3 linked regions of the Caenorhabditis elegans genome follow. The protein of the gene in region 3 interacts with the protein of the main gene of each other region in a pairwise test. Each region holds a gene or a part of one and is shown on either strand. Other genes may lie near its edges.

Region 1 (7,968 bases), on a different chromosome or scaffold from region 3:
ATAGAAACCTTGAATATTTGTTTACCGAATTCAATGTTCCAGGTTGAAGGATCATCCGGACAAATATCGGCTTGACTGGAAAACGGAGAGCATGTTATCGTCAAAACGTCTGGAAATGTGGGCAAATTGTTGGTCATTCCACCATCGATGCATTCCTGAATTATTTTAATTTATTAGTCCATTGTATTATGCGAACACAAAACTCTGAGAATGTGTATTGCGCAAAATGTCTCGTGGCGAAAACTACAGTAATTCTTCAAATGACTACTTCAGCGTCTGTGTCGATTTTTAATGAGAATAACACAAAGAAAAAAAAATCAAAAATTGAGCCCGTAAATAAATCGACACAAAAACTACAGTAGTCATTTAAAGAATTATTGTAATTTTCGCCACGAGATATTTTTGCGCGTCAAATATATTGCGCAATACGTATTCACAGAATTTTGTGTTCCCGTAATAATATAAATGCACCTCTTGATTAATAATTGGTGGAACCCCTTTATATCCCATTGAATACATTGGAATGTAGCAACTGGCAAGAAGGCATGATATCAAATGATCACGACTGTCAAATTTGTTGATCATTATATTTTCCCATTTCTAGAAAACAATTTTTATGAGAGTTTCAAGCGTATTTGTTCTTACTTTCAATTTGGTTATGGAAATATGCAATCTTCCCTGAGCATTTGCAATATCAGTCGGAAGAAAGTCGTCTATGATCTGAAAGTTTCCTTTTTCTTCATCTGAAAAATTAGGGATGCCTACTGTAACTAGTTGTTCATTCAAGTAATATCCAGGAGTCATGGCACCAAATCTTTGAGCATGAACGTGATCTGCCATTGAATACAGTGTGTCGATTGCAGCATCAAGTCTGAGTAGATTTAGATTATTGCCTACTTTCTATTATTCTAGGAAATATGTATTTACTTTTCAGGAGCCAAAGCAAGAATTGCAGCAACTAAACTTCCTGCAGATGCACCAGCAAATCGATCAACTTTCTCTCCAATAGTCTGTTAGAATTTTTACATTTAGTTTTTGAACTCTTGAACTTAATTTATTTTTACTTTTTTTTCTTGCATCAGACGTTTTGCTGCTCCGAAATTGTAAGCTCCAAGAAATCCCGAACCACTAAACGACAATGCCAACTTTGAAACATCTGAAGATGAGGATTTCAAATAAAACAGTTGGTGAAAAATTAGAAATTCGTACCTTCTAGTTTGTTTAGTCGTTTCAGCAAAATAGTCGATATTTTCATAGTTATAGATTTTATATAATAAAAATTAAATCACAAGTGTCTCATGGTAAAGAAGATTTCCAATAAACATGCCACTGTGTTGAAGAAACTAAATAAAAACAAAAGTGACGAATTACAGCGTTGCCCGCATGGAGGAGTTGAGACGATGAATATGTTTTTAATTTATGTGAAAAAGATAAAAATCAATTAACGAAAAAATTCACATGCATTAAACATTTAGAGAAGTGTAAACATTTTAATTTTCACAATAAATGTTTGGTAATTAGATTCTCCGGGAATTTTGCGTCGATGAAGTGGTCATAAAGCGCGCTCTACCGCACTCAGTTCGAATGATGACAATTTCACCGGGTTTTCTTTTTCATTTGCTCCTCGCTTTAAAGCAAACGCTTTCTTGTTGTCAATTGGTGTTCGATTAAATTTCTCAGTTAAAATAAATTTTTCAGAAATCACTGAAAAATGGGAGATCACTATGGATTCTCACTCACCACCTTCAGGTAGTTTAAATTCAATCTCCAGAAAAGTCAATTTTATTTTTATAGCCCATCGGGAAAATTGATGCAAATCGAATATGCATTGAATGCTGTCAAGAATGGGCAACCATCGGTTGGACTGAGAGGTATTCAAGTTTTTGTCTTGTACTGTCGTTTTCAATGGGAAATTCATTTTCAGCTAAAGACGGAGTCGTTCTTGCGACCGAGAATGTCGGATCTGTTCTCACCGATGACCAGCCAAAGGTAGAACAAATCAGCAAGCATATTGGATGCGTCTACAGTGGAATGGGACCAGACTTCCGTATTTTGGTGAAGAAAGCTCGCAAGATTGCTATGGAATACGAAATGATGTACGGCGAGGAAATGCCAACCATTCAACTTGTCACTGACATCGCGGCCGTAATGCAGGAATATACTCAATCTGGGTGAGTTAGAACTTTTCTAAACGCACTCTATTCAGATTTTTCAGTGGTGTTCGTCCGTTTGGAGCATCGCTTCTTATCGCAGGTTGGGACAAAAATCCAGGACGGCCATTGCTCTTCCAATGTGATCCATCTGGAGCTTACTTCGCATGGAAAGCAACAGCACTCGGGAAAAACGACGTCAATGCGAAAACATTCCTCGAGAAGCGCTTCAGCGAGGCCCTCGAGCTCGATGATGGAATTCACACTGCTCTTCTGACACTGAGAGAATCGTTCGATGTTGGCATGAACGAGAACAACGTTGAGGTGGCTGTTTGTAACTCGACCGGATTCCATCGGCTCACCAAGCAACAAGTCCATGATCACCTTGGAACTCTTTAAATCGAGTGATTTCACAATTTTCTTTCTTTCTTTTCTCTAATTTATTCTATGTATTCTCCCATCTATCCGTACCCGGTAGTAATCTCTTTTTGCTACGGTGTTTTGTTGGAACAATGAATCCTTTTACCGTTTTACACCCGACTTTTGAGGTACTTTTATTAAGGTGTATAACCCTATTAGGTTGTTTATCTTGACTGAATTTTCTCAGACTTATGAACAAACTTGTTTTCAGCTATTAATCAAAATGTCTTCAAAACCAAGGTGAGCATTAAAATTTACAGGATAGTGAATTTTAAAAATTTTGAAATAAGAATTCGTTACATTCAAATTTCAGGCATGATTGGTTCCAGAGTGAAACTGATGTCACTTTAACTATCCTAAAACGCGGAGTGCCTCTCGATGATTGCTCTGTTTCTCTATCAGATAACAACACACTGACGGTCAAGCAATGTGATGAGATTCTCTTCTATGGACAATTATCTGGTCAAGTGAAAAAAGATGATCTTACTGTAAAATGCACTGCCGCCAAGGTTAGTTGGGTTGAAATATTATTGTAGATCCATTAGAAACTAGAAAACTAGATAAATGTCTAAACGTCAAGATTTTCTAGTGATCCTCCCAAGCATACCTTATTTATTAAATTATGGTTATTAACATTAAAAACATGTTTTCCGGCCATGGAAAATTGATTGGAATTTGTTTAATTTTAGTGTAGTTTATTTTAACTCGATTGAAACAGTTATTCAAGAATAGTCTGAGAAATTGCGTCTAGTCAGAAAATGCTAGCTATTAATGCTATTAATGCTCTACATTCACCTGAACGAGTTATAGATTGTACCAAGTAAGGACATGTGGCTCAGTGGTAGAATATACCCTTACTACGCATACAGTTGTGGTTCGGTAACGACAGGATGATGAGTCACTCGCTGAGTGACAATAAGCCGAGTGTTAGCGGTTTTTATGTAATCGTGATGATCATTCCCTCAAAAGCGATAATTGTGAACTGACTGTCCGAAACCACAAAAAAAAATAAAAAATTGCGTTCCATAATAACTTGATTGGATTTAAAAACGTCCAGAGCAAAATTTTTGAATAAAACAACTTTTATTTAAAACTTATTCCAGGTAGAAGTTCGACTTCCGAAATTCGCTCGCAATGAACGATGGGCTTCTCTGCTGAAAGACGGACAAGGTGTTGCCGCTTCTGTACAGAGTGTATCACCAAATCCAGAAAGTGCACCAACTACTACTGTGAAAAAGAATTGGGATGCTATCGAGAAACAAGCTGTAAAAGAAGAGGAAGATGAATCGCTGGAAGGTGATGCCGCTGTAAACAAAATGTTCCGTAAGATGTACAACGACGCTTCGGATGATGTCCGACGTGCCATGATGAAGAGCTATTCGTAAATCGTTATTGCCTGAAAACCAAGAGATTATAGTGATTATTTTCAGTGAATCAAATGGAACCGTCTTGTCTACAAATTGGTCTGAAATTGGTCAAAAGAAAACGGAATGTCAGCCACCAGCATGTATGGAATATAAGGAATATGAAAAGTGATGATTAAATTCTTATTTTGTTATATGAACACCGCCAAAAATGAAACTTCATGTCAAATGTTTTGTTTTAAAGTTTAATTAAAATCTCATATCCTCGATATCCCCTTCAGATTCGTTGGTCCCCTGACGCTTGATAACTGCTTTGTCTCTGGAGGTGTATAATTTTTCATAACCATTATGTGGTTCCGGATCTGTTGGATCTGTGGATTGTGAGCTCGTATCTGATTCAAATGGAAGAAAAGCTTGTGATAGTGATGGACGTTTCTTATTTGTCATTTCCAATCTGATGGTATTCATTGTCTCGGTCTTGGCGACCTTTCCAGCTATTTGTTCGATCCATTTCTCCGTTTCGTTTTTCTGCTGGCTCCACTGTTGTTTTACTTGATCCTGAAACGTTATATTACTCAATTGAAGATAATAGCTCTGATCACCTGAATATAGGATTCAATGTCTTCTGCATGCCTCCTCATCTCTTCAAGAGACATATCTTTCAAATCCGGATCTTCAACAGAAACAGTTTGCACTTCAGTGTAATCTAGCTGAAAAGAGCATTCTGGATGGACAATCGTGTTGTGGCATCGCGTGAAGCTCAATGGTGCTGGTGGAGCACGATTTGGCGGTGGAGGTGGTGTACGATCATCGCCCAAACGAATCTCGACATTGCATTGTGCACTAGATGAACCCGGAAATTGATTCGATGACGGTGAGAACGATATCGTGTCATATTTATGACTTCCCTGTGGTCGGAGAGCAGATTCAGAACGATTACGACCATTTGCGGAGAGAATCGGAGGCGAAAAAAGTTGTTCCACACTTGTAGACTGTAAACAGGAAGGAATGTTATTTATTATTTTGTTGTGGACTTAAGTGTACTTTAAAAACATTACAATATTCGGTATGGAACGTAAATATTCTGTAAAATACAAAACTGTTCAAATTTACAATTCTTCTAATTTCGTACTAACAAATTTGATAATACATTTGAGAAGTGTCACGTCACACTGTAAAAAGGTTACTGTGGCTTGCGTCGATTTATGGTATTGCATCATCCTTTTCAACAAAAAACATGAAAGGTAGCATACAAATAATCTCATATGTAGTAATAGCTATACTTACTATTATCAGGTTGTCCCATAAGTTTTTGTACTTTTTTTCAAATATTTTTCCAAAACTTCTAGAAAGTTTTAAAATTTTTTCATCGTAGGTCGTGTCAAGGTCGGGTCGTCCCCTTTCAGAAAAGATTCATTTCATCCATTTCTACTTTGCCACGATGACAATCATCAAACTTGAACGTCGAGACGTTAGATTGCTTCTTCTTTATGAATTTCGTCTTGGTCATTCAGCAATGGAAGCGGAACGAAACATATGCGGTGCGATGGGTGAGGGAGCACTCTCTTATAATACAGCAAAGAGTTGGTTTCAAAAGTTCAAGAACGGCGACTTCAGTCTCGAAGAAATAGAACGTTCTGGGCGACCGGTAGAGTTAAATGAAGAAGACCTAGTGAAGCTGGTGGAGGAAGAGCCTCGTCTTAGTCTTCGTGAAATGGAAGAGAAGCTTGAGTGTTGTCATAGCACAATTGCACGTCACTTGGGTCGCCTTGGTTTTACTTCAAAACTTGGAACTTGGGTGCCTCATGAACTTTCGGCATCACAGAAGCTCACTCGGGTCAACGTTTGTACTCAACTTCTAACTTTTCGTCGAAAGTTCGATTGGCTGAACAATCTGGTTACTGGAGATGAGAAGTGGGTGCTCTATGTTAACCATTCCAGAAAACGTCAATGGCTTCCGATCGGTGAGAAAGGAATACCGACGCCAAAGCCCAAAAAAGATTATGATCTGTGTCTGGTGGGGTGTTCAAGGACCCGTGCACTGGGAATTGTTGCCAACTAATAAAACTATCACTGCTGATTACTATTGTGCCCAATTGGACCGAGTTGCAGAAAAGACCAACGGAAAATATGAAAAACTATATTTTCTTCACGATAATGCTAGGCCTCATGTCGCCAAGAAGACTTTCCAAAAGCTGCAAGATCTTGGTTGGACTGTTTTACCGCATCCACCATATTCTCCAGATCTTGCACCAACCGACTACCATTTGTTCTTGTCTCTCAGTGACTACATGCGCGACAAGCAATTCGACGACGAAGAGCATCTCAAAACTGAACTCTCCACTTTCTTCTCATCGCGTTCGCCGGATTTCTTCTCCCGTGGCATCATGATGTTACCTAGTAAATGGCAACAAGTGGTGGACACTAATGGTGAATACTTGTGTGAATAGTACTACTTGTCGCTTGAGAGAAATAAATTTTTTTCAAAAAAAAAATAGTACAAAAACTTATGGGACAACCTGATAGAAATACTACTTAAACCTTACCATTTAATCAATCAAAAACGTAAGATTTCTAAAATAAAAATAACCACATAAATCGACACTAGCTTCAGTAACTAGCTGTCCCCGTGGTGAGACCAATTCGCTTGAGATAGGGCGAAAAATCCCATTGCATACGTAATACAATATACATTGGAGATTTCAAAGTTAAACATGTACATACCCGATAGCTTGAGCCTTGTTCCCCATAACTGGTCATATTATTCTGTGAGGATTGCCACTGAAAACGTGGAATGTTCGATTGGTGTTTAGCTCCAAAGCCGGCTGGCAATGTTTTATATTGACTCGGTGAGACTCCAGTTGGTGATGACAATGGAAGGGGGGTACGTTCTGGAAATAAGTTGGTATCGTACCAGTCACTATGTTGTTTACAGTTTAATTTTTTTATTTTCGCTGAAACTAATGAGCTAATACTTTTAATACTATTAGTTTTACATAATTACCTCCAATTGATCGAATGCTATCTGGTGCCAGGTACGTCTGAGAATCAGTGGGCAAAACTGATGATGATGGAGGAGAAATGGAAGATAGAGATGGAGCGATATCAGTCGGAACAACTGCCAATTCAAGATCCCTTTTATCAAGGATTCCAATAATTCTGTAACACAAAATTATGAAATGAAACTTATATTTTTGAAATTTCAGGTTTGATTTGGGAATTTCTTTAAGTTGCTCCAGCTGACTAAAAAACAGAGAATACAAAAACCACAACGTTGGTCAAGTTCAAGGTAATTCAAATGAAAACTTCAGGAACACTATAATTTTGGAGGACTTTTTTTGAATTTCATAAGCTGTATTTATTAAATTGTTTTTAAATTTTCTATTTGGAATCTCAAGGAAAATTATTCAAAAAGAGTTTTCACCTATTCGATACAAATTTCTCAAAGGGTCCCACCCAATTGTTGACTTTTTTCTTTTTCATATTATGATTATCTGTAACAGTTCAAAACCAAATCCCTTCTGTTATTGAAAGCCTATTGTAATAACTTCTTTGGTATTTCACTTTTGTAGAACTTATCAAACGCTCCATGTATACCCAAATAAAATTTTATATCAATTTAAAATGACGTTGAGGCAATCGTATTTTATGTCTACGGCATTCACCAAATCAATAACAAAACACATTATATTAATAGTTTGATTACAGTAGCTACAGAAGAGATCAAAAGTTTGCAAAAAAGCGAACTACTAGTTACAATTTTCAAATAAACTTAAATCTGATTTTCTTACAAAAAATGTAAACTCACTTATCATCTTCCATAACAAGAATAAAGTCTGTGTCGGTTCGAACCAATTTATGTTTTGAAACAATCAAATTCGTAGGTCTCGATATCTCAACATTTTGCAGTGAATTAGTCCCAGAAGCTTTCTTTTTCACAAATTTCAGCATACTTCTGAACATAATGCTGATCATAATTGTTGCAGAAATCGAAAAGAGTGACTAATAAAAAACGTTTGTCAGTATCAATAGAT
Region 2 (9,590 bases), on a different chromosome or scaffold from region 3:
AGGGAATACGCAAAGCATCGAGTGGGTTGTTTTTATTCAGTTATATATCTGATACATAATATACAATAATAGTATACTTCCTCAATATTTTTCTCTGAATTTCAGCCACGTTCAGAAGTGGAAAAAAAGTTTGATTCAATGCCAACAACAGAGGAAGATGTTACTATTTCATTGGGCCCAAAAACTGCAGATACCTTTGATGACAATTATGTTAAAGAGGTGAGTAATCTGAACATATTTAGTAATTCAAAAGCCGATTGTTTTTTATTCATGTTATCTTAACAGACTTCTTGTGAGCCTACTTCATTGAAAATTGTTAAATCAGAATTCGCGAATAAATTATAGTCTAAATAGCACATTATTTTCCCAGAAACTGCTACTTTATCAGAAAATTATTCCAGCTCGTGCGACAATCAGAATCGGCTTCTGGGCATGCAGTTGCAACTAAAAAGCTGAGCCGAGAGAAAATCTCGAATAGTTTGGCGAAGGGCAATGTAGCTGCAGTCCAAGGACGAGAATATCTTAAAATGGTGAAAAGGTCATCATCTGCTCACTCAAGATTAATGTCTCAACGTACATTCTCTGTGGAATCCGGATCAATTGACTCATCTGAGCCATCAACTCCACAATTGACATCTCCGCCAGCTGATCATGGAGTTTTTTCGAGTGTTGGGGAGAAAATTAGAAATATTTTCGGAAAGAAGGTATTTTTCCGCAAAATAATTTATTATTTATTACACACGCGAAATTTTGTGAGCTTCGCGCCCAATATGCACCTTTAATGAGTACTGTAATTTCAAACGATAGTTTCTGCGGAATTTTCATCGGGTGTTTATGGTTGTTCGTTAAAAAATATTTTTTATGAATAAAAAAACTACGAAAAAACAATTAAAATACATAACTTTCTAATAATCGATTAAAAATCCATGGAAACCGAAATTTTCAAGTTAGAGTACAGTACTCTTTAAAGGCGCACACCCGTTTGTATCAAAGAAAACAATTTCGTGTCGAGACCGGGTACCGTAATTTCAGCGCAATGATCACAAAATTGCACGTCAGGATAACATTATTACAGTTTTAAAACGTTTCAGCCTCCACTTCATACGAAAAGTCTTTCCGTTGTTCAAACGGATCGAATTGCAGCACCAGCTGTCAGATCTTCATCAATTTCCAACAAACCATTGTCATATCAAACCAGTGGAAATTCAAATGAGGTAAACCTAGATTTATGATCAATTTGAAAGAAAATATTGGTTCTTTCTTTATAGGAGGATCACTTGAGACTTCCACAACACTCATCATCATCGGAATCGCCACCATCTGAAGGTCCATCGAATAGTGGATTGTTCCGATGGTCATCAAAGGATAAACCGATGACCAGTACTGTCAGCACTGCTAATGGTGTCCGTCTCCCTCCACTGAGCCTACGCCGTCGTACTAACAGTGATCCGAAAAATCGCGATTTCACATCACTGGGCGGCGATGAGTAATACAACTAAATGTGGCAAAGCTTCTTCATTGTTTGAATAATGAAAAACGAATACAAACAACTTTGAAATCAAAACATTAAAACTTACAACATTTCGTTCAATAAAGTATCATCAAAAGAAGAAAACAAAAGCTGAACATGAGAATTTGGGATAAGGAGCAGCAGATCGGAATTATGTGAGAAGCACGCGGAAAACAGGGATATATAAACGGGGTAAACGGGAAAATTTAAGCGTGGCAATCATCTCCTCCAAGTGGCTCTTGCTTGTCAAGTTTGATGAGGTCATCAATACGCAATATCGTAATGGCTGCCTCAGTGGCGAACTTCAGAGACTTGACCTTACTAAGAGCTGGCTCCAAAATTCCAGCCTCCTTGTTATCGCGGATCGTGCCTTCTTCGAGATCCAAACCAGCCCTAAAAAAAGAGTGAATAAACTGACTCAAATTCAGAAAACATGAATTAGACGCTTTTTCTAAGCACAAAACGAAATTTTTTGAAATAAATTATTTTAATTTTATTACATTAAGCTAACATGTAATAACCTACTCTTTAAAAAAAACATTTTCACTTACCACTTGAGGTGTTGAAGTTGTGGGATCAATTGAGCTTTGGAGTGGTACGCGCGGAGTTTTGTCACTAAATCAGTAGAATCTCTTGCAGCATTGCTTGCCAAAACCTTCGGAATGATGAGAAGCGCTGAAGCGAATTCAGCAACAGCAAGCTGCTCGCGAGAAGACAAGGTTTGTGCATAAGTTTCAAGGAAAAGACTGAGAGAAGTCTCAACAGCACCTCCTCCAGCCACAAGTTTCTTGCTTTCCAGAACTCTACGAACAACACAGAGTGAGTCGTGAACCGATCTCTCCATTTCATCGAGCATCACATCGTTCGCTCCACGGAGGATAATGCTGCTGGCAGTACGAGATTTCGGTCCCTTGATGAGAATGAGCTCGTCGTCACTAATTCTTTCTTGAACAATTTCATCGGCATGTCCAAGAAGCGAGGCATCGAAAGCTTCATCTCCTTCCAAAGTAGCCAAGGAAACAGTCAATGTGGCTCCAGTAGCTTTGGCAATTCTCTTCAAGTCTGATTTCTTGCATCGACGAACAGCCATAGCTCCAGATTCGACAAATTGCTTCAAGCACAAATCATCGATACCTCCAGTTGTAAGAACAACGTTGGCTCCGGCTTTCAAAATTTTATCAATGCGGCGTTTGGTAATATCGAATTCTCTGAAAATTCCATAGCTTAAAAAGAAACGAATAGTTTCAACTCACTCTCTGCGAATAGCCTCAAGCTTGGCTGGATCTTCAACAACGACTGAAATACCGAGGTGCATCTTAGCCTTCATCAAAGAGAAATCGAGACATGCGATCTTGGCATTTTGAACACGAAGTGGCATGGCCTGACTGGCAACTGTGCAATTGAGTGCATATCCTTTCACCAAAACTGATTCGCGAGCGCTCTTTCCGTGGGCCTTCAGAACATTGACTGCATTGATAGGATAAGTGACTTTCCCGTTATTTTCCACACGAACAGCTTCCGCGGCATCAACAACCAGCTCTCCGAAGAAATCGGCGTCTCTGAAAAATCAATTTTCTTGAAGCATAGACAACACCAAACTCACGGTCCGATAATCTTACTGCTCATGGAAGTTTTGGCAGCGTTGACAACTGATTGTCTACCAATCGAGTCGGAAGTGAATGAGATGTTTTCACTAATGTACTTGACGGCTTCCTTGCACGCGAGACGGTAACCATTGATAATAGTCGTCGGATGAACTTTTTGTTTCACAAGCTCATCGGCTCTCTTCAAGAGCTCAGCCGCCACAATAACGACAGAAGTAGTTCCATCTCCGACCTCCTCGTCTTGCAGCTGTGCAAGTTCTACAAGCACTTTTCCAGCCGGATGCTCAACCTCGAGTTGTTTCAGAATTGTGGCTCCGTCATTTGTGACAATGACATCTCCAACATCATCGACAAGCATTTTATCAAGTCCGACAGGGCCAAGAGATGACTTCACAATATTGGCGATCGCAACTGCCGCGGTGACTGCAATTAATTAATGTATACTTATATTGAGCTTTCGGTGTTACCATTCTGAGATCTGATGCCTTGTCCAGTAGTTCTTTTACCGGTGAGGGCAAGAATGGAATCTCCAGCTGATGCCATTACCTGAAACACAACCGTATTAACTTAGCAATAGAGTAGGACATTCGATATTGAGTCAAAAAGGGGCTTTGAATAAGCACTCAAAAATAAAAATATACGTAAAAATGAAAATATTTCAGTAAAAATAAAAATGCTTCCAGAAAATCGGGGATCCCTTGAATTCTGAATCAAAATTAAAATTCTTGTAGAATATTCTCAGAGCGCATCGTACTTCATGCATGCTAGAAGGGTAATCGTGCCGAGACCCAACACCAGCTGTCACTAGGGCGTATTTGCAACATTGTTCCCACCCGCGATTTATTGCCGATAAATTAAAAATAAAATTGTTTCCGCTAGTCCTTTGCAAACAAATTTGTTTTTTTTGTTTCCTCTTGTAATTTTTATAAATATTTTATTGGTCTATAATTTAAAATATTGAATTCAGATTTCTAACATTTATGGAGCCGCCATGCACATCAGACTGCAGCCAGATAAAAGTAAGAATTTTGATCAGAATTGTTTTTTATTAAGCCAGTGATTAAACAGAAATAATTTTCTTCCAGGTCTTCTACTATCTCGACGATGAAACGACTCCCTATGTTTCTGTTATTGAAGCCAGAGAAGGAGTAGCGACGCTTGGAAATTTCAAAAATTCATTCACCAAGCGTGGATATAAGTATTATGCGAAGGAACTTGACCCGGATATTCAACGGTGAGTTTTGGCTTTTTTAATTTTTGTAATTATTCTGTACTGAAAAATGTTCAGAGAAGTTAAAGTCGAATTAACAACTGATTCGGATCGGCTGCGCAAATCCCAGAATGGATTTTATGAGATTTTTCTCGTTAGCACTCCAGGATATGGAACTCTTCCTCGAAACAGTGGAACAATGACGCGACCACAGAGAACTGCTCTAGATAAGGTTCGATTTCTGTTATTTTCAAAAAAAACTGATATTTTAAGCGCCGCCGACGAAGTGCAGACTTTGACGCGACTCCGTACTCTGATGCTAGTCTTGCTCCGAGCACCATTGTTAGCAGTGAGTTTTTGCTATTTATGTACTCTTAAAAACCTGTATGAACGTTTTTCAGGAAGAGCAGGAGAGCATCTGGCAGAATTATACACTTCAAATTCAGAGGATCCGTATCAATATGACGAGCATACACGTCGAACAGGAGATGATTCTTCGCTCTACGAACCTCTCGCTGCTCGTGATATGAATAAGATATACGATGACGATAGAAGAAGGAAAAAACAAAAGAAAGAAAGATTCAGAAGACCGTATGTTCCAAGTACTATTAGCTCAGCGACGGAATCAAGTGTTAACAGCGGCCTCCCTCGAATTCTGGAAATTTATCTACCAATGAAAAATGTTCCATATCTGGGACTGAGCGTGTGCACAATTGATGGTCATATATTCGTTTCCGAAATTGCACCAGAAGGTGCCGTTGAAAAAGATGGACGTGTGAACGTTGGTGATCAGATTCTTCAAGTTAATAGAGTATCCTTTGAAGAACTCAGTGGGCCTCAAGCAGTTCGTTCGCTCAGAGAAGCTGCATCCTCCAAAAGGTATTTTTCTACGCATTAGCATTAATTTTTTTTAATTTTTAGACCAATTACTCTTTATATCAGTAAGTTTGCAAGAGGTGCCCCAAGTGAATATGATGATCCACTCGCGTCCATGGCGTCTGAAACGATGCCCCTCGACGTTGGAGTTTGGGTAGAAACCGCTGTGTAAGGGTACCTCGCAAGATTTATTTTCTTAATTTGATACTTACAGGCAGAACACTGAAAAAATGAAAGCTCTGGGTTTGGATCCACAGGAGCAAACGGCAACTACAATTGATGACGGAACTCTTCCATTTACATCGACAGCTTCTGATGATGAGGAGCGAATGCTTTACGATCAACGTAGAAATGGAATTCCAAGAGCTTTGATTGAAGAAGCAGAAAGAAAACGAGAAAATGAGCAAAATGAAAAAATAGAGCAACTCACAGAAATGATTGATCCCATTATTGTTGTTCGTTCTATGGCTCGTCCGGATTCAGGATTAGCTGTCAAAAATCGAAAATGGCTGAAAATTTTGGTTCCAATGTCTTTTATTGGTGAGTACTGAACATTCAAGTATTAGGATCCAAACAATCAACGTTTAGGCCGAGATCTAGTCGATTGGCTCGTTGATCACATGGCTGATATTCATAATCGGAAGAAAGCTAGAATCTATGCTGCGAGATTGTTAGCTGCTGGTCTTATCAGACATGTCGTCAGCAAGTTGACATTCACAGAAAAGTGCTACTATGTATTCGGTGATGGAATTCTTGGCAATGATCGTAATTCCACGGACACCACTGGTACGAGTGGAACTACAATGCGAGTTGAAGCAACTACTGAAGTGACGTATGTTGGCTCACCAGCACCACATGCTCTGGCAGCACGAGTTGGAAGAAATATTCCTCATCGATTAGAAACCACTACTCTAAGCCCAGTTGCTCATGACCAAACATGGCTTCGAAGACGTCGAGATTGTGAGAGTCCTATGACAAATGATTACGCATCGATGGTCGGAGAAAGCCAAATTGGAATGAATCCAGTCGGAAATTATCATGTTTTTGGGACGAAAAATAATCACCGTCAGGTACCGGCACCTTCTCAAGTGACATCCTCAAGCTTGACAAACGGTGAGAAAATTAATCGTTTCTATAGGGTGCAGGAGTTAAATTTGAAGCAAATATTCATTTCAATTGATATAGTATTTGCTGTTTCTTGACTACTGTACCCTTTGTATCCAAATGACTTTTCACATAACAGTATTTCCCCAACCAAATTAGTTACAAATTCCAGGAAGTGGTGGCTTAGGAGGCCCTCCGCCGACTCCTCTATCCAGTACTATGGTTCTAGCAGCTTCTCCGATTCAGTCGCAGAACGCAGTCAACCACGATTTCGACGGGGAGAACAGTAGCAACAGCAGAACGCGTATTTTACGGACTTAAAATTTAAAACTCATTGCCTTTACCGATTCTCGCCTTAATTCCCACATGCTTTATTAATATTTAAAACTATGCCCTGTTTTCATGTATTTCAGTAAGACTAACGTTTTCATTCATTCATGTAATTTTGAGTCTATTTATGAATTATTTTAAATTTCTTCATGACGATGTTCACTTCGAAAAACGATGTGTGATGAAGAAGACTTGGACAGCACCGAAGATAGTTTTAGACATCCATTCCGAGTAGTATGCAGTATCCTTCGTAGTATCCCAGGAGCACATGTTGGCCGTGCAAATTGCAAGATTATCGGTTTTTGCAGAAATAGTACAATGAACCAAAAACTTTTTGCTTCCATTGAGCTTCACTAAATTATCCGAAATTGTTTGGATCATCTTGCTCATCCAATCAGACATTTTGAATGGAGAATATGGAGTTTTACCAATTATTGAATCAAATGATTTTTGAATAATTAAATCAATTTCTTGTTCTTCGGCATTTGAATAGACTTTCTTTTTGAGTTTCTTATTTTTCTTTTCAATCAATTGTCTCAAAAGCTGAGCGTTTTTTGATTCAATTTGCCGCTTTGCTACAGAAGAAGTTGTAGAAGTGTCTAAAATTTCAAATGATGTTGCATAATGTGACAAAGAAAACTAACCTGTCATTTTGAAACAAGGAATGAATGAAATAATTAAAGTTATGCGATAAACATTTGTTTTCTAAATTTGATATATATATTAGAATCTGGTATAAATTTTTTTAACAGTGCGTGTAATTAGAACACGCTCTGAAGGCGAAGTGTTTAGTGCCAATTCAAAATATTACTTACAATTAGACCCGAAAATTTTGCGCTTTTTGTGCCAAAAACACGGTACCTGGTCTCGACACGAAACATTGTTTTTAAATGCAAAAAGGTGTGGGCACAGCATCTCCGACCGGGAGCGAAAAAATTAATTTTATTATAAAATGTGTTGTTAAGTTTTTGTTTTGTTTCCGCGGCTCTGTACCAGATTTTACACTAAAAGTGCACCAGTTTGGAGCACCGGACACACAGAAATTGTGTAATGTTGATGGCGTTCCGTATCCGAAATTGACATGTTTGCAGGGGTCGGTTGAGCTAACAAAGGTGGGTGGTGGAAGACGGAAATACGGTTCGAAGGAATAGTGGGGGGAAAGCTGACTGATTAGCTTGCCATCAGTGATTTACGGAAAATGTTCTGCTTCCTACTATGATTTCCTCATAATTTGAAATTTCATTAACTCTTAAATGTTTACTTAAATGTGATGCGAATTACTCAGAAAATGCACAGTTTTGGAAATGTAGCAAGTGACCAAAACATTTACTGAAAAAAACCTTCACCTTTGAAGTTCCTCTAATATCCAAAAAGTCATCATCAGTCCAATAGACAAAAAGTATTTCCGGTCCGTCATGGCAAGTTTGCCTTTCTCATCACAAACACTTTCTCTCATCCTTTAATTGTTTGTAGATGAGCCGGTCATTAACACTTATCCCTCTTATATCTATCATTCAATAAATCTTTTTGTAATATGCGCACCTCAATAATGTCTACAGACTCTTGATCAAGGTTTGTGGAACGTTTCTTTCTGTTTCCATTCAAACTATTTAATTAGATTTCCTGTAAATTCTGGAATGGAAAAATTTAACTTCATATTCAATTATAACAATGAAAATTAATTTAAAATGGCTTTGTGCAACTTCTTGAAAACAAATTGGAAAACATAGTTATTTTATAGTGAATGCTTTATGTATGCACCTTTATTATATTTCTTTTATTAGTCTTGTATCCTGTTTGCTCTACTTTGACAGCTCTCATGCCGGTTATCTTTGATTTTGTCAAAAGATATTTAACAGCAAAAAGGTATCACATATTTTTCTATATTTTCATAGTCAATTTTTGATATATCGAAAGACAATCGAGATATGAGCTTTCAAAGTAGAGCAGTGAGTTATAGGAAAAATACGGATCTTTTCATAAACTGATCGGATCTGAATTTCCCATACGGAAGCGTCTCTAATCTTGACTCTATTTGACACACAATCATTCAACAGATTTCTTTATTTAATTTTCAGAAATTTCAGATAATATGTCCTAATGGCCTCATATATTCTAAACGCACTTACACTTCGTCACGACCATGACGCAGCTGAACGAACATTGCACCATTTTTGGGATACGGTACGTGAAGGAAAAGTTCCGGTCTCTTTTCGTGAATGAAAAGATTATTTCCACATGATTGGAAGGGTCATTCCCGTTACATTCGTTTTTGAACGGAAAATGAAATTCAAAAAAAAACAGCTGAAGATGACCTAGTCTCGCAAATTTCACCTTTGCATGATAGGATCTAACGAGTGTTGGGCATTTTATTATTGTTATTAATATTATAGACTTACTTTTATTATAAAGTTTTTATAGTAATGAATGACTTTATATTCGATTTAGGTGATGTAAGTTTTTAATGATTAAATTAAAAATTTAGAGTTTATCTAAATTCAGTTTACATACTTCAGAAAGATCTTCTGGATTCCGGGTTAATTGAAGAACATATTGCAAGTCAACCCCTTTTGGCTGCAAGTTTATTTTCTTTAATTTCTTGCTCATTTGGTCTTGTTATCTTTACAATCGTATTCCTCACATGTAGGTTTCGAGGGCGATGTGGATCACAAAAATATCAAGTAAGGTTTCGAGGATCCCTTCTTTTAATATTAATATTTCTAGGAATATCCTTCAAATTCCAACACTTATGCAATATATCTTATGTTATTTTTCATTTCCTGGCTCATCGTCACATCAGCTTCTGCTTATTTTGTTCTCGCTGGAATTGGATTTTGGAGTGAAAAATTGGATGCAAAGAAACCATTTGCTAATGCGTCTCTTGTGGTTTTTTAGACATTTACTCATTTCAAAGTGAAACGTTTATATCCTAATTTTCAGAGATTTTCGAGAAGCA
Region 3 (12,307 bases):
GTCACATAGAAGTTGAAGAGTATTCCAATTTTAGGTTTTTCTTTTCAAATAAACCAAAACCTTTGACCGGTGTCTTTAGACCATGAAATTTCGCAAATTTCATAAAATCAAACAAGGAAAATGATGAGAAAAAGATATTTTTGTGAAAAGTTACGAAATCAGGTTTACTTAATAGTAGTAGCCAGGAATGTTGGTATTGTCCCTCCAACGGAAATGGGGGTCATTTCAATTGTCATCATGAGTCATAGTTTGACAACTTTCTTATTTTGAAATTTGTAATTATACTACATCATGTTTTCGAAAAAAAATAGGAAGTTAGAAAAAATGGGAAATTCCTAATGGAAAATTAATTAATTTACATGAAAGTTTTGGATTTTCAGAACTACACGGATCAAATAAAATACAGTGAGGTGTAGCTATGGCAGTTTTGGAAATTGCTGAAATTGACGATTACCGAATGTTTCTGGCAATATTCAAACCTATGTATATCTAGAATTTTTGAAATTAAAAAAGTTAATCATTGGGGAATTTTCAGGCTGGCCAGAATAGTTGTAAAATTAGCTAAAAGCACAAGCACTCCATACAAACTCAATAATTGCCGAAATGCTCTAATCGACGCACTTTTGAACTATCTCATTTTGGGTTTTTGAGTTTCAGTTTTAACCATTTTTGAGTTTAGCATTTTGAGTTTAATTTCGGTAGAATTTAATATTAGATTTGAAAAAGGCGATTGAGCCTACATTTTGTGATATTGTAAATATCTGAGAGTCTCAAGCGTGCTGAAATTTCAGATGTTTTTCAATCGTGCAGTAAAAATTAAAAAAAAACAATTTATTTTAGAATTTCTAACAATTGCTCGCGCCCCAACACTGCATCAAAAATACCATATCAGGCAGACTGGGTAGCTTTCAAATCATTTTCCAGTTTCTATCAATTTCATCAACACTTCGCACAAGTATTCTTTTTCGTCTCTGTTTTTGCTCTATCCCTGGAAGCTTTGAAAAACGCGAATAAGAAAATGTTACATTACAGACATTTTACAGTGAAATGTGGAAAACCTATTGTCCTCATGTTCAGGGATCAAACTGGGATGGAACACTCAATCTATCATTATACTTTCGGTTCCACCTGAACTCCTACTTTTTGATCTGTAACATATCAAGCGAATGTAATCTAAAAGTACGCCCATTAGAACATACCGTCACACATTTTGATTTTTTATAGTTTCAATAGCTACGTGAGTTTAGCAGCTTTATTTCTCCTAATTTTCACTATTGCGATTGGAGAAATGATTACCTCACTGCCTACTAATCAATTGACCCTATGGATTTGAAAGTGAATATCAGTATGTAAACGTTTCCGATCAAAACCAAAAAGTTGCACTTATTTTTTATTATTTTTTTAGCGCAAACAGCAAACTTTCAGTGTACCCTCAGGCTTTGAACCGAGAATGCCCCCAGTCTTTTAAAAGTTATCAAAAAGGGGAATTGAAGCGGCGAAATTCAATTCAAAGGAGGTGATACCCAGAAAATCGATAGAAATGTGGTACTCGAAAAATTTGGGCGGTTCGGCAATTATCGAGATAAAGATTTCTGGCATACCAAGAGAACATTTCAGAGAAGCTCAAAGGGTGAACAAAAATGTTTTTTCATCTTTAATAAGTCCCATCAATTGTCGAATGGCAACTTATATTAGAATTCTGGGGATAAACTTTCAAATATAAAAAGAACATTTAAGCATTTTCTAGACATGAACTTTAATGAAGCCGCTTTTGAGTTTTTTTGAATTCCATCCTGTAATCTTCTTTGTGTCACAGCGTATACTTCATAAACAATGAAAGATTCAGATGGATTACGGTAGAAGCTCCATTCACAACAAAGACTTGGTAACTCCTCCCATTTTATCTATCTACCGTAACCAAACTGTCCTTGAAGCTCTTTCTAAGTGCACCTCAATTGCAAATTGCGTCATGCTTCATCTGCATTCCCTCATTCAAGTAGTACCAGTAGGTCGTTGTGTTACCTCTTCCCGCCCAACTGTCTGCACTTTTTTGCCCTTTGTCTACCTCAATGAGTCATAGGCATTTTGCACAGGAGAACTCATTGTCACTTGGCACGATGCCAGTAGTTTCGAATCATTTCGAAATTGGCGCACAATGTCCTCATTCTCCCGCCTTACCGTCCCCTCATCATGACCATGTGTGCCCTTTAAACATTGGTGACGTCACAAGACATGTGCGTGGGGGTGCCAGGAGGGTTAAAAAGTACAATTAATAGGTGTGTCTTGGGTGGGAAGAAAGAATCAAAAGATATGTGCAAACGGGAAGACAAGTGTGGAAAAAGGGACCTGCTTTCATTGAAGAGACGGATTGTTTTACAATCACCTTTTAAATGACACTGTAGTTTAAAATGATTCATCCTGAAGCTGGGCCTGTGTGGTTTGATTTACCTGAGTAATCAGGTTCTAAAAGAAATTTAGCTGCATAGGATCACTTGAACTGGGAAAAGCCTCTCAGAAATCAGTTATGGAGCTTCCAAGATCGAAAAATCAACCTCTGCATTCACCTGATTTGAATTTCGAGCGGAAACGAGTTTTATGGATTCTCGGCCGTGTACTCCTCTCGAGCATCATTTAATTGGATTTTGGGCGATTTTTCATATCATCCTCTCAAATTCGACTACAAATTATACACCACATTTCTTCGGTTCGCCTGAAGGAATGTAGGTAGGCATTTTTACATGCTAGTTCTATTTTTAAGAATAAGCCGTCATCTTTCACGAAGGAAGGATCGATTTTCGGACTTTTCAAAAATTTTTGATGTCTGAAAACGGTGCGTCGAGTCAGAGGATAATCCCGAATAGTACTCTGCAACATTATGCAAAGTCTTATGATTACTCTAATAGGATTTTAGATTATAAAGGCAAACGATCAGATTAGAAAAGGGAACAATGAACATCAAGAATTTGTGGAGTGTGGACACCAATAAATATACAAACCATTTTATTGCTACTTGAAATGGAAACTTACATACTTTAGCTAATTGAATAGCACTTTAAATAAATGAGTGCACATAAAGAAAGCTATGATGGTTACAAGTTCAATACAAAGGGACTGCGAATAAATAAATATTTAAATGAATAAGAAAAAAAAATTGAAAAAAAGAGGTTGGAGATCCATTGATTATCACAATATTGCGGCGAGAATTCAATGGGTTATGCAATAATTAGAATTAAATAAATTAATTTGAATAAATTTCTTAGCTTTTAGAGTTCTATGTTCAACTGAAGAGTTAACGGTACAAGTTTAGAGCAAGACCTTCCATCATATTAAGAAGTGTCGGGACGCGGTAATCGGCTTCACACTGACGAGCAGATTCAATTAATTCGAGAAGATGTTTGATACCGACTCCATGGAATCTGGAACATTCTTATTTTAGGAGAATTTTGCTGGAATGAGATTTATGAAAAAATAATCAACTAATACCGGCTAAAAAAGAGTTAATGGCTTGTAAGAGGATAATGGAATTAAGGAATTGGAACCAAAAGGAATGATAATTCAGAAACAAGTCTTGCAGATGATGATTTGATAACATTTTGGGCGATATCAGGGTTCAATTCGAGAAAAAACTTTTTTTCCAAAAGAAAAAAGGAAAAAATAGATTCGCCAAAATTTTGTATTCAAATTTTAAAATTTTTTGAGTGTTTCAATTCAAAAAAATTTTTCGAGAAAAACGATTTTCTGAAAAAAAAAATTATTGAAGAAAATTAATTTTGTGAACGATTTTTTTAATATTAAAAAATAAGATGTATATAACACAACTGATCATTTAATATCAAGAATTATCTAATTTAAAAGCATAAATTAGTAATGTTTTCAGAATTATGATTATTTCTTTATCAGAAGTTTACTTTTTAATAATAAAATTGAGCTTCACACTGTTTGAAATAATATTTTTTTATAAAATAAAAATCGAACATTCTTACCCTTCTCCTCTACATATTGATGCAAGTTTTTGTTCAATCATAGGAAGTTGATCATCGGAATAAATGTTACTCTCCTGAATCACATTCATCATTTGTCCTGCTGTAGTGAGTTTAGGAATATCAATAACATCTCCAAATACATCCATAAGTCCCATGTCTCTTAAGAACATACGATCCGATGAGGTTGCGATGACGAACAGACGGTGACCCTAGAAATATCGATTGTTCTAAAATATTTGTTTCGATACACTAACGGCCGGTGGAGGAGCATTGAGAAGTACGAGAAGAGCTTGAATTACCAGATTGGAGTATCGTGGGCCGACCGGATGGTAGTCTGAATAATTTTATATAAAGATTTATGCATTAATCTAAAAACCAACCGATCAATCTTTCCAAATTATCGATTAGAAGAACACTGAGCTTTGATCGTTTCGCATCTTCAAAAGCTTTCTTCAACGCCATACACTTCGCAGATTCTGAGAATCCAACAGTATCTTCTGGTGATATAACTTTGACGAATGGGAAGTCCGAGCTCTTTGCCATTTGAGCAGCCAATGAAGTTTTTCCGGTTTTTGCGGCACCTGAAAGTTAGAAGTATATAAGTTAACCGCCATTTTTCAAAAAAAATAATACCCGCAAGCACAACAGTTCGGAATCCACTGTTTTCAGGATTTTTTACAGTGGCAGCGAGAAGGCTTCCTTCATCAAGAATTTTCGTTACTTCTGGTCCCCAAACGATCATTCCACGGCTCAAGAAACGATTCAGCGATTCATCAGAACGTCCGAATGCCTAGAAATTGGGGATTAAGAATATAAATAGAAAAATGATTTTTTACCGGTTTGATATCATTCTCAAGGGCGTAATCAAAATCGCCAGAATTAATAGCAAGTTTCTCAATTGCATCTGGATCAGCTTGAGCTTTACCTCCAGCCTTCACTAGCCTGTTCATTGCACTGGATTGGGCAGCTCTGACGAGACCTTCCAATTCGGCACCGGAAAAGTTCTTGGTCCTTTTTGAAATATCCTCCAAATCCACGTTGGGGTCCATTTTATTGTATTCTCTCATGCGTGCAGTGTGAATTTTAAGAATTTGAAGTCGTCCAGTCTCATCAGGAAGTGAAACTTCCATTTGGACTTCCAATCTTCCTGGACGAAGAAGAGCTTCATCAATCATATCACGTCTATTGGTCATTCCGATTACAAGAATATTATTCAATTGTTCTACTCCATCCATTTTTGAGAGCAATTGATTCACAACAGTGTCATGGACTGATGAGCTTCCAGCCTGGAAATTATAAAGGAGTATAATCGCCATATTGCTAGCAATTATAAAATTCGATACTTACCATAGATCCTCTTTGTTTGCAAATTGCATCAATTTCGTCGAAAATGATAATATGAAGTCCTGAATTTGCTCCACACCGTCTCCATTCTTCTTCGGCATCAGCGAACAATTTTCTCACGTTTGACTCTGATTCTCCAACGTATTTATCCAAAATCTGTGGTCCGTTTACAATTTTTGGCTCTCTCGCGTTCAACATCTTTCCAATTTGTCTCGCCATCAATGTTTTTCCGGTTCCAGGTGGTCCGAACAAAAGAATACCTCTGACGTGCTTCATTCCGAGTTGCTCAATAAACTCTGGTGGGAATACACGAGACGCGAAGGCACGGCGGAAAATATGAGAAAACTCAGTGTCAAGACCTCCAATTCCCATTTGTTGAAAGTCCCAGTCAGGGTTGATGATTGAGCGGTAAGCGGATTTTCTGAAAAATGAATGTTTTTTTATTAATAGACTCTAATTCTTAATACTAACCCTTTACTCTTTCCAATCAAATTAAGCATAGATCCTTCCTCTTTATCAAATACAATAACTGAATTTGGTAAAAGTTCTCCTGCTTCAATTTGCTTTGGTTTGGTGGCACTACTGTCCGTATTGGATGCACCACTTGCCGCAGCTGCAGCTTTTCCAATATCAAATCCTTCGATTGATTTGACAACAAGTGATAGAGTGTGAGTCTTGTTCTTCTCTTTATCTTCAAATCGGAAAGCCATTTGCATACCTCTGAAAATAAATTAAAAATAGAATATTCACGGTTTTAGAAACTCACTTTGAAAAAGCTTGTCCTCCAAACTGAATCGAGAATTCTCTGGCCATCAAATCGGCGTTGAGTGGTTCAGATGTGACACTACAAAATTATCATTTATTTACTTTTTTTAACGGAAAAACCCTACTTCTTTTTGGCATTGAAATCAGCTGTCAAAATCATTGAACCAACATATTCAGATTGTTGAAAAGTGAACGGTGTCACTCGAACTTCTTGATCCAACGATAAAGCTGCCCATTTACGATGTGGAACACCGAATGCGATTTCTCCAGGCTTGATTGAGCCATCATTTCGAATCGAAAAAATATAGTGGTGAGCAGGGCCGGGATTTACGCGGACATGCCTGAAATTAAAACAATTTTACACGAAAACCAGCGAATGAAAATTATGTATTTAAATACTAAATACAATGATAACAAAACCTACTTGATCTGCTTATCATCAAAATCAGAGCGATTAACGTAGGCATAATTAGCCAACGTGTGTTCTTCTGATGGTGCTTTCCGAACACGGAACATTTTTTCGTTGGACGTCTGATAACTGGGGGGCAGACGTGGTGATGGTGCTCTCACTTCGCGTGGTGGAGCTACTGGAATGCGGTCTGAATTATTATAATATACATTTTGAAAATTGTTTGAAAAGGATTAAAAAGGGTAAGGGAAAGCTTTGATCAAACAAATAGGTAAATGTGTGAATGAAACAAAAAAGTTAGTGATACTTTTAGCGAGAAACGTTAACTGTTGCAATCATATTAGTAAAATAACCTCGATTAATTTTTCGTACCCGAAAAAAATGATATGAACCAGGGGCGTCGCCAAAAAAAATTTCGATTTTTCCATAATACAAGCCGCAGAAATGTCTTTTTTTTTTGGAGAATTGAGGCATCGCATTAGCTTTCGACTTTTTTGGTTTTCCGAAATATAGAAAAACAAAAAAATTAAGTTTTTTAGAAAAGGCCTGAAAAGAACCCATAGATGAATAAGACCAGATAATGTTCGAACTCGTTCTTAGATAAGTTTAACCGTTAATTGTCTCAAGAGATTCCAAAAAGTTCACCCAGGAACTGCGGAAGGAAGTCTCAGTGTCCATTCTATCCTATAATTTAACGCTACACCATAAAGTGGACGGAGCTGATTGGAAAGCACAAACATGGTAGGAGGAAAATTGAATTCGAATACATGGACACGTCCACCCTCAACGAGACACACACAAATGCACACAAAATTATTCGGAAAACGGAGAAAAATTGAGTGGAAGTCGCGCCGTTTGTGGCGGCTCCGATTTCTTGGCGAAAAGCATGCATTTGGAGGTTTTTGAGCCATTTTTCTAAAGGAAAGGACCGAAACGTAATTTTTAGATTAATGGGCATGAAACATGAAAGGAAATTTATTTTAGAATTTTTAGTTTTTTTCTCATGAAGCTCTAGACAAAAAATAATGTAACTCTATTAGAAAACGCATGCGCGCTGGGACATATAATCTGATAACAGACAAAACGAAGGAAAAATCGGGCAGACACAATTTTCATTTTTAGGATACCGAAAGTGAGAAAGAGTCAGATTTCAGGGGTTTGATTACACTGAATTTAATAATTAAATTTTCAAAGTATTAAGGTTTGAATTGTTTCGGATAAAACTGAAGAAACAGCTTATCCTGTCATTATTTCAGTAATTCATGACTTTCCTTGGTTTATGGAAATGTTCTCCAGAATAACGTGGGAATAATGGCATCAAAACAGAAAACAAAAAGCGGAGGACCGAAAAGAGGCCGAAAGAAGTAAATGGAGAGAAAACGGAAATGAGAAGCAAAAAAATACGAAGAGATGGGGAAGATGCTAACAAAAACTGCAGAACGAGAGGAGCAGTGCGTTGAAAACAAGAAAAATACGAAGAAGAAGAAGACGTTGTTTCGGCACTCGGAGGCTTTTTCCTGCGCAAATCGATGTAGGACTTTGGGCATGAAAAGACACGAAGAGTTGGAGAAGAGGACAGACGGATGGGGGAGATACGTGAAAAAAGAGCCGGAAAATGGGAGGGGAGGAAGTGAAAAGGGTGGACTTTTTGATGATGGAGAAAGAAGCAAACTAAGAAATGATGAGCAACTTTTGGTATTTCTCAAATATTCATGCAAGTAAACATTAAAATAATATGGAGTGGCTAGAACTGGAAAAAAATTAAGTCATGTCAAACCGTCATGAATAAAATTTTAACGAATTTAAAAATGTTAAATGTTCAAATAAAACCCTGATTTTAAGAAAATTCCAGTTCAAGTTCATCCATATTACTTATTAGTAAACGTTAGTTAAAAGTTTGAAAGCACAGTTCCCAATAAAACAAAACGAAACCGTGATTTGTCTCCAGTAGTGAGTCGTTTGCTGATTTCCGAAACCACGACATTGTAGAATATTCCTGAAAATTAACAATTTTGAAAGAGAATAAATACAGTCCTGATCTTCAATAAATAAAGAATTAAAAGAGAAACGATCAAACGAATAATGAGCATTGAAACACAATTATTTACCACGATTTTCCTAAAACAGCAACATGTGCTTAAACACGGGACTGGACTCATGAGAAAATGTCTGACTGAAAACTCGTCCAAGGACACGTTGCATATGAATTTCGCAACTAATAAATTGTAACTGGACAAATAATATGAACTTTAAAAAAAAAATAAAAAGAATTTATTATTTAGCAGCTGATGTGGTTTTACAAAAAATATTTTGACGAAATCAATATTTAAGCATCAGAAACTTTATATTTTTCGCATTTGTGATAAAAACAGCAGATTAGAAATATTAAATTGCAAATAAAATCTTAAAAACTCATGAAAATCCGGGAAACGTGTATTATGAGACCACTTCAATTTTTGAATTGTGTGAGTCGGGCGAAACAGAATTATGAAAAGTAGTTAAAATCCTTTAACACTATGTTTTAGAATATTTATAACAATTTAGCTGCTATTCTTTCTCACTTAAAATGTGAGCGAAGTTTTCGTTTTCGGCATTGAACGCATTTCTTTCAAACTTTATTCACAGATTCCGTGACGTGTCAGTAGAGCAAATGCGCTCCATGGAACTATCGACTTTTCGAATGCGACGCGTTCCGCGCTCAACGATTCGGCTCATTTTTTGCTGCGTTCTCGCTTATTATTTCGTTCCGCAATTGTAAATGTATCACTGAAATGTACAATTCGCTTAGTTTCTGTCAATTTCAATAGAAAAATAGTGTTATTCTCACAATGCAACAGCCCTTTTTGTTTCAAAACATTGAAAGCAATGTCAGTTTATGGGAAATTCAGTTAATCAATAATTATAGCATATTGAGAGGAGCATTATATCTCAGTCATAAGCCATTTTGTTCTTGACGTTTTATAATTTTCATTCCTTTTTAGTCTAGGATTTTTAGAATTAGAGGGCCTAAAATTATTTGCTTTTCTCTTCTGAATGTGTTTTTTGTTCTCAATGCTACACGAAGTCTTTCAACTAGCTATTTAGTTGCTTCTATTGCTTAAAAGAACAACTGAATAGTATGTTTATTTCCTACTCTCGGCATATTTCCTCTATATTGTAATGTATTTTGTGTCTACTTAAGAACGTGGAGTTTGTCATTATTCCCAATGCGGCATACTCTGTGATCTTACTGCTTCCCTCTTATTTCTCGTGTAATTTCATTGTCCGGTTCGAAATGTTTTTTTGTGCCGGGTAATGTCACGACTTTCAATAGTGTGAATCTTTTCTCGAAAACTTCATACGATTGCTAGTCATCATTTTTTCTGCAGGTAATTTATTTGACTACGAAATGGATCAAAATCCTAACTACAACTTCGGTTATGGACAGGCCTATGGCTCTGGCACTGATCACACCAGCGATTCCGTACGTTAACTCTAAACTTTTGTGGGTACTCGATTAGAGTTGGAGTGAAATCCAATACAAATTAAAACTCAAGTAGGATTCACTCCAGCTTTAAAGCAATTAAAAATATTGGAAGAACCCCAAATAGTTTGGCGTTGTCGTATGCATCGACAATTAATACATTTGTTGACGTTTACAGTGTCAATAAGTTCATCTGCCTAATACAAATGAACTTTTTCTCACTTTGCAATAATTAAGTTTTGTTATAGATGCATTTCTGGATGATTATTATAAATTAAAATTTATATCATCCAGGGTTGGATCCTCTCGGTGATATTTTCAAAAATTAGCTTAAAATTGTTTATTTCTGTATCTTAAATCGTATCAAATTAGCAAAACCTAAGGTTTGAGATCCTTCAGCTAAAAAACAATATCAAAAACTTTCTAATACAAAAAATCACTAAGCTGAATTATCTCAAAAGCTTAGAAAATTTTGCTTAATTAATTTTTCAATTTTCCAGACCAATAATTACAACTGGGCAAGTCAATGGAGCCAACCAGAGTCCGCTGCCTCGCTGGCTACCCACACGGTATGATAAAAACTAACAATTTCGGAAGAAAATACAATTATTTTTTTTCAGTTCCCACAATATGTCAGCCAACAACAGCAGCAGCAGCAACAACAGGCTCAACAACAAGCTCAGAATACTTATGCAGCCATGAACCCAATTTCAACATTCATGCAACAACAACAGAGAGCACAAACCTTCCCACAGAAGGTATATTTATTTTTAATTTAAAGAACAGCTCCAGTTGAAACTAATAGTTTATTTTTAATTGAAAGAACAGAAGCGTTTTCTAAAAATTATCACAATTTGGAATTTCTAATGTGAGAAACTGATACAGAAATACGGACAACAAGGCGGTGCTCCAAAACCATCTGCAATTCGTAACAACAATTTCGGTGCGTTTGGCGGAGGGCACGCTTTGAGTCAGGAGTGGGTGCAACCAATGTCGCAAAACCAAATGGGTGGCCCACAGGGAAATCGTTTTTTTAACAATCAAAAAGGCGGTCCATTCAACCAAAACAAACCAAATTGGAGGGTGGGAAATTATTTTTATTTTATATTGCAATAACGTTTTTATTTCAGCAAAATAAGCCCAAGGGTCCAGCTGCTCCCAAAAAGTTTGATTCGACTGGGAAAAGCCCAGCGATGTTGCTTCATGAGCTGTTCAAGGATGTTTCTGAAGAGTAAGTTATTGAATTTATTAGAAAGGCAATCAAATTATTGAACTTTTTCAGGTACACTGAGGTTGAGGGCGTTCCGAAAAAGTATTGCTGCACATTGAAAGTAAACGGACGCACTTTTCAAATGGAATCAGTCAACAAGAAAGCAGCGAAACAAAAATGTTCGGAACTTGTTGTTCGCGATCTTCGTCCGGATGTTCATGTAACACCATTTGAAGAAGGTGTAGCAGCAAAAGCAGCGGCTCCAGTGAAAAAGGAAATCGATGCCGCTTCTGGAAATGGGCAGAACAACAAGAGAAATGTACGTTCGAACTACAATTGGTTTTAATAAGTTTTATATTAGTTGCTTCAGGCTGATGCTATTTCAAATCAACCGACACCGAAAAAGGTCTCCGCTGTTAAGAAAGCAAAGGTAAAATTCAAATTTTCAAAAGCTGTACTTATAAATTCTCAAGCTCCAGTTGACACCTGTTGAATCTGCGCTTTCGTTGCTAGATCTAATGCAAAAAATAATTGCTGAGTCTGCCGAGAAGTATTCACCAGTTTTCGAAGCTTCGGAGGTTCCAAAAGATCCAGAGATTCCCGAAGTCGAAGTCAAAAAAGAAGAAGTGGATACAAATGGAGAAAACGTTGCCAATGAAAAGAAGAGTGGTTGGCGCAAAAATGAGACCATGCATAATGTCACTTTGAAATTCGTGGAGCAAAATAAACAATATACAAAGATGGGACCAAGTCGTGGAGTTTTGAAAGATATGGTCATTCGTGAAGCTCTTCGTGACTTGTTCAACGTGTCACATGCCGACATCACCACTGTTGCCCGTAGACATGCAAGTAATCGTCTTGGACACGATACGACAATCCTTCAATGTCTCAATACCATTTGCTCAATTTTAAATTGCACTCTTACTATTGAATGTGAGCCAGCAGAAGACAGACCACTTGGTATCGGAAGAGCATATTTCATGGCAAAATGCACAATTATTGATCACAATGGTATTTTTACTAGAATCTCAGATTTAGAACAGTTTTTCAATTTTTTCAGAGAATGATTTGAAATTTGAAGTCAAGTCCTCATCACTCGCTTCCAAAGCAATGGCCAAAGACTGGGTCGCGCA

The links.
Region 1: the proteins of nsf-1 (region 3) and pas-2 interact in binary tests that used the Caenorhabditis elegans proteins (3 or more experiments, as listed by UniProt).
Region 2: the proteins of nsf-1 (region 3) and mig-5 interact in binary tests that used the Caenorhabditis elegans proteins (3 or more experiments, as listed by UniProt).

The regions. Positions count from the first base shown.
Region 1 is NC_003283.11:10,768,670-10,776,637, forward strand, and holds pas-2 (Proteasome subunit alpha type-2), read left to right. Parts: upstream 1-1,698; 5' UTR 1,699-1,711; coding exon 1,712-1,749; intron 1,750-1,794; coding exon 1,795-1,871; intron 1,872-1,924; coding exon 1,925-2,171; intron 2,172-2,215; coding exon 2,216-2,549; 3' UTR 2,550-2,682; downstream 2,683-7,968. Other genes in the region: D1054.1 (PNPLA domain-containing protein), read right to left, coding at 9-155, 472-600, 646-720, 766-871, 928-1,010, 1,065-1,156, 1,210-1,255; D1054.3 (SGS domain-containing protein), read left to right, coding at 2,794-2,810, 2,884-3,079, 3,674-3,951, 4,001-4,106; D1054.5 (CBS domain-containing protein), read right to left, coding at 4,184-4,492, 4,537-4,926, 6,659-6,825, 6,939-7,093, 7,743-7,909. UniProt on the Caenorhabditis elegans protein: The proteasome is a multicatalytic proteinase complex which is characterized by its ability to cleave peptides with Arg, Phe, Tyr, Leu, and Glu adjacent to the leaving group at neutral or slightly basic pH.
Region 2 is NC_003280.10:8,179,513-8,189,102, reverse strand, and holds mig-5 (Segment polarity protein dishevelled homolog mig-5), read left to right. Parts: upstream 1-4,079; 5' UTR 4,080-4,094; coding exon 4,095-4,133; intron 4,134-4,199; coding exon 4,200-4,348; intron 4,349-4,402; coding exon 4,403-4,556; intron 4,557-4,597; coding exon 4,598-4,673; intron 4,674-4,725; coding exon 4,726-5,203; intron 5,204-5,245; coding exon 5,246-5,368; intron 5,369-5,414; coding exon 5,415-5,740; intron 5,741-5,788; coding exon 5,789-6,313; intron 6,314-6,463; coding exon of another isoform or gene 6,464-6,476; coding exon 6,477-6,625; 3' UTR 6,626-6,780; downstream 6,781-9,590. Other genes in the region: T05C12.8 (ANK_REP_REGION domain-containing protein), read left to right, coding at 1-21, 106-219, 402-704, 1,092-1,214, 1,269-1,490; cct-1 (T-complex protein 1 subunit alpha), read right to left, coding at 1,717-1,903, 2,062-2,718, 2,764-3,069, 3,114-3,537, 3,582-3,657; dylt-3 (DYnein Light chain (Tctex type)), read right to left, coding at 6,794-7,233, 7,279-7,285; T05C12.4 (uncharacterized protein), read left to right, coding at 8,735-8,818, 9,151-9,315, 9,359-9,520, 9,575-9,590. UniProt on the Caenorhabditis elegans protein: Plays a role in the signal transduction pathways mediated by multiple Wnt genes. Functions redundantly with other dishevelled family members throughout development.
Region 3 is NC_003279.8:7,763,549-7,775,855, forward strand, and holds nsf-1 (Vesicle-fusing ATPase), read right to left. Parts: upstream 8,684-12,307; 5' UTR 8,661-8,683; coding exon 8,610-8,660; intron 8,498-8,609; coding exon 8,434-8,497; intron 6,692-8,433; coding exon 6,517-6,691; intron 6,434-6,516; coding exon 6,218-6,433; intron 6,172-6,217; coding exon 6,094-6,171; intron 6,048-6,093; coding exon 5,799-6,047; intron 5,749-5,798; coding exon 5,331-5,748; intron 5,270-5,330; coding exon 4,820-5,269; intron 4,774-4,819; coding exon 4,617-4,773; intron 4,565-4,616; coding exon 4,364-4,564; intron 4,318-4,363; coding exon 4,238-4,317; intron 4,193-4,237; coding exon 3,984-4,192; intron 3,417-3,983; coding exon 3,290-3,416; 3' UTR 2,984-3,289; downstream 1-2,983. Other genes in the region: A-to-I RNA editing regulator adr-1, read left to right, coding at 9,890-9,964, 10,465-10,533, 10,585-10,722, 10,850-11,047, 11,095-11,195, 11,247-11,493, 11,536-11,604, 11,648-12,185 and 1 more. UniProt on the Caenorhabditis elegans protein: Required for vesicle-mediated transport. Catalyzes the fusion of transport vesicles within the Golgi cisternae. Is also required for transport from the endoplasmic reticulum to the Golgi stack.